Schizosaccharomyces pombe: one gene and its partner. Changing the gene in region 2 together with the main gene of any one other region gives a genetic interaction. Each region holds a gene or a part of one and is shown on either strand. Other genes may lie near its edges. The genes, in order: etd1 and rga5.

Evidence for each region.
Region 1: of rga5 (region 2) and etd1, a mutation in one rescues a mutant of the other (synthetic rescue), as found in Schizosaccharomyces pombe (one study listed by BioGRID).

What each region holds. Positions count from the first base shown.
Region 1 is NC_003424.3:5,086,022-5,090,403, reverse strand, and holds etd1 (Spg1-binding protein Etd1), read right to left. Parts: upstream 2,426-4,382; 5' UTR 2,316-2,425; coding exon 1,406-2,315; exon of another isoform or gene 1,344-1,405; coding exon 1,078-1,343; 3' UTR 766-1,077; downstream 1-765. Other genes in the region: translation initiation factor eIF4A Tif1, read right to left, coding at 3,663-4,382. UniProt on the Schizosaccharomyces pombe protein: Involved in septation.
Region 2 is NC_003423.3:2,484,622-2,488,803, forward strand, and holds rga5 (Rho-type GTPase-activating protein Rga5), read left to right. Parts: upstream 1-1,913; 5' UTR 1,914-2,185; coding exon 2,186-3,271; 3' UTR 3,272-3,588; downstream 3,589-4,182. Other genes in the region: SPOM_SPBC557.02C (uncharacterized protein), read right to left, coding at 3,704-4,182. UniProt on the Schizosaccharomyces pombe protein: GTPase-activating protein for Rho1. Has a role in the negative regulation of (1-3)beta-D-glucan synthase activity and cell integrity.

The DNA of each region.
Region 1 (4,382 bases), on a different chromosome or scaffold from region 2:
TATGTATAAAAAAGACCGTTATACCCAAATTTAAACCCAAAACGGGAAACAGATAAGTTTGGAATAGTGGCAAGTAGTAGTAGAATAATTGTTTACTGAAGTCAAAAATGGGAGTGGGTAATGAAAAAGTGGTTTACAGATGCAAGGAATGCCAACTCAGTGTAAGGAATTGTGCAGCGAAGTCAATGCAACTACTGTTATATGTAAAAATAAAAAATCCGAAGTTGACAAAGACAAATAACGATTGCAGGAATTACCAACCGAACAGAATTCAGGTTGTAAGTATATTAAAGTAATGCAGTCAAATTGAGGAACGTAGAGAGAGAGACACACACACACATCCAAAGCAATGGGTTTTCGAAAAGATACGGTAAATATTAATGAGCAGAAAAAAATGATAAAATATTAAATGTAGAAATTCGGCTTAAAAAATCGATAAAAGTGTTGTGTAAAAAAATTATACGAGCCGAAGAGCAGTAAAACTACCGCGTATAAATTGTTGAAAGAGCAATAATCAGTGAACTAAAAAGTCAATCCTCCTTGTAGAATATGTGGAATTGACAAAAAGAAAATTTATAGGTTTGCGGTGTGCAAAGGATAAACAACTAATTGTGGTCTAACCCCGTAGTATAGTATGAAGTGGGGTACTAGTTTTAAGGATTTTCAGTGCAATGAGGAATTTCTCACTAAATAGCAAAATCATAGATATGGGTTTTCAGGTATTTTTGATTTACATTCTTTTACTTTAATTTAATAAAATCTTTTTATCACAGAATAAAGGTTGGACTAATATTCACAAAAGACAAAACATCTGTCTAGTACTTTTTCCGAAATATTATTGCAAAATAGATTTATTAAAAAGAGAAAACGAAAGAAATTTACAATAAAACCAAAAGCTTCTTAAGATGCAGAAGTATAAAAAGGTTGTAATGGCCAGTTTCACCTTTACTTGCTATCCACCAATGCGAAACTGTTCTCACAATTATTGAAATTATCCTAAGCGAAATTTTGACACTTTGGATAACAAAATAGATACTTCCCATTCCATTAATGGATTAAATAGCCAAAAAGAGAAACTCAGTGTAATAATAGTTGGAGTTGGGACATTAAATAATGCACATGATCGTTTAGCCCTGGTAGCATGGACGCATCGAAATCTAATGAAGAATCCCCTTCCAACTTAACTTTATATTTTGATAAAATGTTTTGCGCGTCCTCATCCTTTAAATCAGAATAATTTGCAGGATCCGCTAACCGTAGAATAGCCTTAGCCTCTCCTAAAATCTCTGAGTCCTTGTCGTAAATATCTTTGGAATTTGCCTTTTCGTAAAGATCTTTTAAGTCTATTTGTGTTTTTAGTTAGCAGCGGTTAAAACTAAAGCATTACAACACATGAATGTCTTACCTTTGATGGATCTCGTAAATTCCTTCACCTCAAAAAGCTGTTCTCGAACGGTGTGTCCTGCACTGTTTACCGTTTCGGGAATTATCAATGGACTATCGAATTTCACATTAAAGTCCTGCTCCCAATCTGAATCCGCATCGTCCGCAAATAAATCGCAACGAGATGAAAATCGAATATCCGATGAATCGTTATTTATATGAGTCGTTTGCGTATTGTCTTGAATGATAGGTTCCGACACTTTCGACGACTCTGGCGAAGTAGTCGATAACTCGTCCCAGCAAATACCATCCGAACTCTCATCTTCTTGCGTAGTCGCACCCAAAGAAGTTTCTTGGATTTGCTTAGCTAATTCATTTATCCGAAAGGAATCTGTCTCATTATCATCATGAAGCTCACCTTCAATAAATCCATTAACTGAAGGTAGTTCAGCACCTACACCACTAGCCTTGCTCCCTTTATTGGCCGAATTAAATTCATTACTTAACGCAGTTTTTTTACAGTTGCCTTTGTTTATCTCATTCGCCGTAAAGTGAGACAACGACGTACTGTCTGCACCTGAAGCGTTGCGTTGTACAGTACTTTTTGACTCAACTCCTATGAATGAAAAAATTCGTTTAGAAAATTTTCGGGAGTAACTTCTTAAGCTTTCAAATGCTGAGGGTTTCCTCCATGAGCCTTGATCTATGCATTCGGAGGTGTTAACTTCTTTCGGTAATCCAAGCTGTTTAGGGCGCCTCGGTGTAATATCTGAACCATAACTTTTCATGCCTTTCACATGCCTTCGTTGTAGAGTCACACCTTCAAAAGAATGACCCCTATTCTCTTCGAAAGTATCTGGAACCTCTGCCATATTGACAGAAGAATAGAAATATTCACTTAAATTTTGTTGACTGCCGTATACAACTCCCATTGACGAAATACTCGTAAATCTATATTTCTCTTAAGCTAAATTAAAGAAAGAATTATTGCCGTAGAGAAAAGACTGTACGCGTCAACCCATTCAAGTGTGTAAATAATGGTAGAAGGCACTTTCGTCAAGACCACGCTTTTGTTAGTAAACAAACGGTCGTCATGAGAACGACATAACGAATTTTGAACATGAATCTGTAAATGATTTATAAGGAAATACAAAGTTCTATAACATCAAAGAACGCAATTCGTTATGTTGTTTAAGCGCTATATAATTCTGATAAATACTTTATAACGCGTTAATCGTGGTTACGTTAAATAGGGCTTTGTAAAGATGGAATGCTAGCAGAGATAGACTAGGAAATGGAAAAGACTGTCTATTACAAGTTTTATTCATTAAAAATGTTCAACTTAAAATAAATAAGTTAGCCAAAAACTGAAAAGATGAATGACTCTACAAAGATTCAAAGCCACTGCTCGTTCATGAGCACAATGTTAGCATCAAAAGTTGCTATACGCCTTTCAACTTTCTTTACTTGCTTACGATAAACTCTTCAACTAACTCTGTTGATGCAGGGAAAACATTGTTTTCTTCTTTTCTTTCATTACATTGACTTAAAAGTCAAACTCTTTAAAACTAGTCAAATAATGTTTGCAGTTTAAAGCTACGTTTTTGAGAGCGTAAAGTGATGCAACCTTTAATCTCACAGTTAATATAAACATAGCGAATATAATAGGTTAATGGATCAATGATTAATAATAACTTTTACCTAGCAGAATTGTTTATTACTACAGACCATTTAACTTTTAGCAAAAGGAACTTCCTAATTCCTTACAAAAGTACGACTGGACAGTTACGGTTAACACAAATACGTTAGCTCTGAGCAAAAAAATTAATTCCACAAAGGTATACGCAGTAAATAAAAGTTCAATCCAAAATACAGATTGACATCCTCTATTCACTCATTTAGTTTTACCAAAAAACAAAAAAACGACAAACCTTCTAACCAAACTACAACACATTTATAAAAGTAATCACAGAACAGCTACACGAGGCTCAAAAGAAGAGTAAATATATGTAAATCAACCAAATCCAGCCTTTTATTTTGTGACCTAATGAATAAACAGCGTAGCCGAAAAAAAAAATCCTTTCTCAGCAAACACTAACACGACTCACAAAAAACCATATGGTGAGCAGCTATCAACCGGCACAGATAAAAGAAGCATTAAAAACATGGGCAAAGAAAAGCAGATAAATTAAGTTGCGGGAGGTTTGCCGGGTTGCGAGAAGAGCAATCACGGAGCGTTCCATATCTAGAACAAAGAGAAGAAAGGACTTTTGTATTTTTTAAATCAAGTCAGCAATGTTCATAGGCATTTCCTCAATGTGTGTATTGTAGAATTGTTCAATCTCACGCATCATGCGAACATCGTCGTTGGTAACAAAGTTAATGGAAACACCCTTACGACCGAAACGACCACCACGACCAATACGGTGAATGTAGTTTTCTCTGTTAGCAGGTAAGTCATAGTTGATAACCAAGGAGACTTGTTGGACATCGATACCACGAGCAAGAAGATCGGTGGTGATAAGAATACGAGAAGAACCAGTACGGAACTCATGCATCAAAGTATCACGTTGAGCTTGGTCCATATCACCGTGCATGGAGGAGACGGTAAAATCACGCTCAGTGAGCTGCTCGGTAAGCCAATCGACCTTTCTACGGGTATTACAGAAAATAACGGCTTGAGTAACAGTGACGGTTTCATAAAGATCGCAAAGAGTGTCAAGCTTCCACTCTTCCTTTTCAACGGCAACATAGAATTGCTTGATACCTTCCAAGGTAAGCTCATCTTTCTTAACAAGGATACGAATGGGATCACGCATAAATTTGGTGGTGACTTCCAAAACATCTTGAGGCATGGTGGCAGAAAGAAGAACAACTTGAGCAGTAGGAGGCAAAAGTTGGAAAATGTCGTAAATTTGGTCCTTGAAACCACGGGACAACATTTCATCAGCCTCATCAAGAACAAACATTTGGACGGCATCGGTAGGAAGAGCACGACG
Region 2 (4,182 bases):
ATATCTTATCTGTATTTTTCTACTACGCTATGTCGTTAATCAGTATATAATCTGTAGTTATTTATATTTCCGTTCCGCAGCGGATATATATCCGTTCTTTGAGAGTAATTATCTTTAAGACTAAAATCCTTTAAAATAAATCGACCGAATTTTTGTTCCTCAGTTCAAATTGTAAACAATTTATACAGTTATAGTAGTACCCAATGTCTTGTTTATATCCAAGGATATTTAAAGCCCATATTCGTAAACCAACTTTACATAATGCATACAATCATATAAGATCCTTCTCACAATCTACATTTTACGGATTGCAAAATTTCCACTATCTAAGCTTAAGAGCTGAAAGCTTCTCACCTTACAAATATGCTGATTTTCGTAGTAAATAATAAAATGAGATGACATTACTTATTTACTCGGTCGATTTTTGAGAATTTGCGTAAAATACTAATTTGTATCTTAAGATAAAGATACTAAGTTGATTATGTAAATCCGAGTATGCATGGTTGTCTGGTGTGTTACGTTTAGTATGCTATCCATTAGCTTGTACACTGTTCTCCAAACCATTTCATTTTTTTTATGAAATTACCAATTGGTTTGTAATAAGTTGCTTTTTAGTTAATTTAACGAGCATTACTGTTGCTGCTCATCTTGCATGGCTATCGTTTCGAACCGATCATATAAAATATTCGACGAAACAATCGCATAATAGGAGCTAGTCAAAGAAATTTTAAATTTTTGTACAATTTCTTGAGGGCAGCTTAGTTTTGTTTGATGGGATGACAAATCCCGGTATTTACAGACTTTCAATTCAATGAATTGATTTGATGCGTCCAATACCCACATCGCTATTTTAAAAGTGTAGTAAATAAAAATAATGTAATGTATATTATTAATTTATTATTACATTGCCGAGTAAAAAGGGAGTAAAACGAGAAATCAATTGAAGGATTTGTATTTTCTTTATTCTTTCGTTTACTAATTTTTGTAGCGATGACCTATTTTAAAGGTTAGATAAAGTAAGTCAACACGCTGAGCTTAATTGAGATTATCGGTGCGAGCGATCGATTGTAACAATCAATCGCAACAATCAAATGATAATGTATTAAGCAAAAAAAGGAAACTTGAAAGAAATATAGAAATGAGCGACCCTTAGCTCTTCGACCTGGGTGAACAAGAGTCGTTGTACATAATAAAAATATAACAAAAAAGAAAACCCCAGACAAATCACAGTTTCAAGCATATTATACAATCATAGAAATTTGCATTACTAAAAGAATTTCTCTTAAAAGATTAATTATCTAAACATTCCTGTATATCGAAAATCGTAGTTGTATGTACAGAGAGACATGGTACTTTTATTTATCAATAAAAACAGTATACCAACAACCAAGGGGAGGGCATTCTTCATTGTCAAAACTCGTCAGTTTGACTTGTAAGAATTCGCAATTCAAATATTTCCTAGGAACATGACTTTCAACTCGTCCTTTAATGAGCCCACTTTGCACTGCTAATCTGGGATGGGTGGTATCAGCACACTTCCTACTGACACTAACGCTAATGTGCCATGATCGTAAAATTGCAAAATCTTCGCTATCGCAAGCAGAATGTTTGTTTTCTCCGAAGTGTTAAGGAATGTATCGAATCGTATGGTAAAATCATTCCATCATCCAAAGGTCAGTATACGATATTGGCACGCTAATGCGTACAGGACAATGCTAAGCCTCTCTCTTTACGAGTTGCTCGCTTGAACGACTTATAAATTCCTTTAAATTAGTAACCAAGCGAGTAGTTTGGTATTTTATTAGAGGATTTGCCTTCCCCGAGCATCCTCGGAAGTACCGGCTGTGAAACTGCGACACCCACCTTGCAATAGCTAACTAGTACTTACCAACCCCGTAGTGTGAACCTGCTTTGTACACAATACAACAAATAATTCTAAAAGCGCAATTTATTAAGTTAAGTTTACCCATCTAGTGGAGAACAGTGTTATTTGAGTTGAACAGAATTGTTATTCAATTTTAAAGAGTGTCAATTTATCGGTTACTTTTTTTTTACACATCTACAATTCTTTCATTGTATTTGGGTTTAAATCTTTTGTCTGTTATCTCATTTTCCTCATTGAATTCTTTTTTTTATTGTTTTCATTTGTTAAGTTTTTCAATTTTTATTACAATAGCCATTGTTCATGACTGTTGTCGTAGGAGTCCTACAGATTGACGATATGGGGAAAAAGTCATCATTCGCTAGCTGGTGGAAGCAATTGCGGGTTAAAAAGTCAGATGACAATAAATTGTTTGGTCTGAGCCTTACAAGGGCTTTGGAAGTATCGAAGGTCGCTATCTTTCTGACACGCCGAGACGGTGAGAAAGTATTTTATGGCTACATTCCCGCTGTCGTTGCTAAGTGCGGGTTTTTTCTTAAACAAAATGCTACCCAAGTAAAGGGAATTTTTCGCGTTAATGGTTCTTCCAAACGAATCCAAATTCTCCAAAAAGCTTTCAGTACAGGCCCGGATTATGGCCGAAGTTTTGATTGGGAAGGATACACAGTTCATGATGCTGCCAATGTTTTTCGGAGATTCATCAATCTAATGCCAGAGCATGTGATTCCTTTGGAGTATTATGAAAGGTTTCGTGAACCCATGACAATTCCCAATCTTACAGACAATGAGCGAGTGGAAATGTATCGTCGACGCATTGATGAATTACCGATTCCAAATCGCCAGCTTTTACTTTATTTACTGGACTTACTTTCCGTTTTTGCGATGAACTCGTCGAAGAACCTGATGACTGCTGATAATTTGGCTGCTATTTTCCAACCTGGAATTCTATCTCATCCTGATCACGAGGTTTACTCAAAAGATTATCAAATATCGCAAACGGCTCTTTTGTTCCTTATCAATCATCAAGGAAGCTTTATCAAAACCATTCCTTTGTCTTCACTACCTCCTCTGGTAGCTGCGCCTACTTCTCCAAATACTTCTTCTACTTTAATTACGCAATCTGCTGCACCTACTCCTATAGCCTCGACATCCATTAGGATTAATTCTTTTAATCCAAGAAATGGATCCATTAAGCGTTGGCGCTCTTTTAGTCGTCATTCTAGTGCCACTTATTCCAATAGTCCGAGTTCAAATTTTTCAAACATGAAAAGCTCCGAGGTGGATCCTGGTTCACCCCCAAGAATCAAATCTCGTTCGTATTCATTGTCTAGAAGCTCATCTATGAAGCTTTTCCATACACTTGATCGCCGGAGGGAAAATCGTATGTAATACTTTTAATTGTTTTTCTCTGTTTATCTAGTTTAATTGTCTTTGTCCTTGGTTGTATGGCGAAGAATCTTTTTGTACATATATACTTAGTTGTTACCGTCCGCTCTTTTAGTTTTATTGGGATTTGCATTTAGGCTGGATACCGCTACTGTCGTTTTATGTTTTTTTCTTTGTATTCAGCCATTTTCATTTTAGAAGTTCTACTTAACCATAGTAAGAACAAATTATCCAATTCGTTATTGTTTTTTGTAATTGTTTTTTGTTTTGGTAGATCAATATATTTATCTACATAGTAAATTTATCTGACAGCTTTCAGCTACTTTCGTAATTTTAAATTTTTATTAATTTGGTGTCCATATATCTGTACAAAGAAACTTTTATGAAAACAACAACGACATTGTAACCAGAAAGGATTTATCAATCTATACTTTATTAGGCTCCAAGGAGATCCTGTAACAATTGTAAGAGGCGCTTCTGATCTTCAGATAACTCTTCATCATTATTCACTGACAAAAACAATGGTATCTTCAGGTCTGCAAGGATTGCAAGCTGTTCTTTGTACATCCTGTTTGTCAATTGTACCACTTGTTCATCAAATTCTTGTAAAGCCCTATTGTCATCTAAAGTTTGAGCGGAATCATTGTTGGTCTGGTCATTAAGACAATTGGACGGTTGTTTCAATTTAGGGTCGGAGGAAAGCGGTTTCAGTATTTCTTGAAGCTTAGTTTTCGACTCAAAATGTTGAACTAGCCGCTGCCGTTCCAGAGACCAGTTGCGCTCTTGACGTTCCTGCATAGCCTTCATCTTTCTTAATTTTTGTAACTTTTCGGGATGGCGGGAATTTAGGGCAAAGATGTACCTCAAGGCAGCGGGATAGGTTTTAATTTTTTCTGCGTCCTCTATAGAATTGT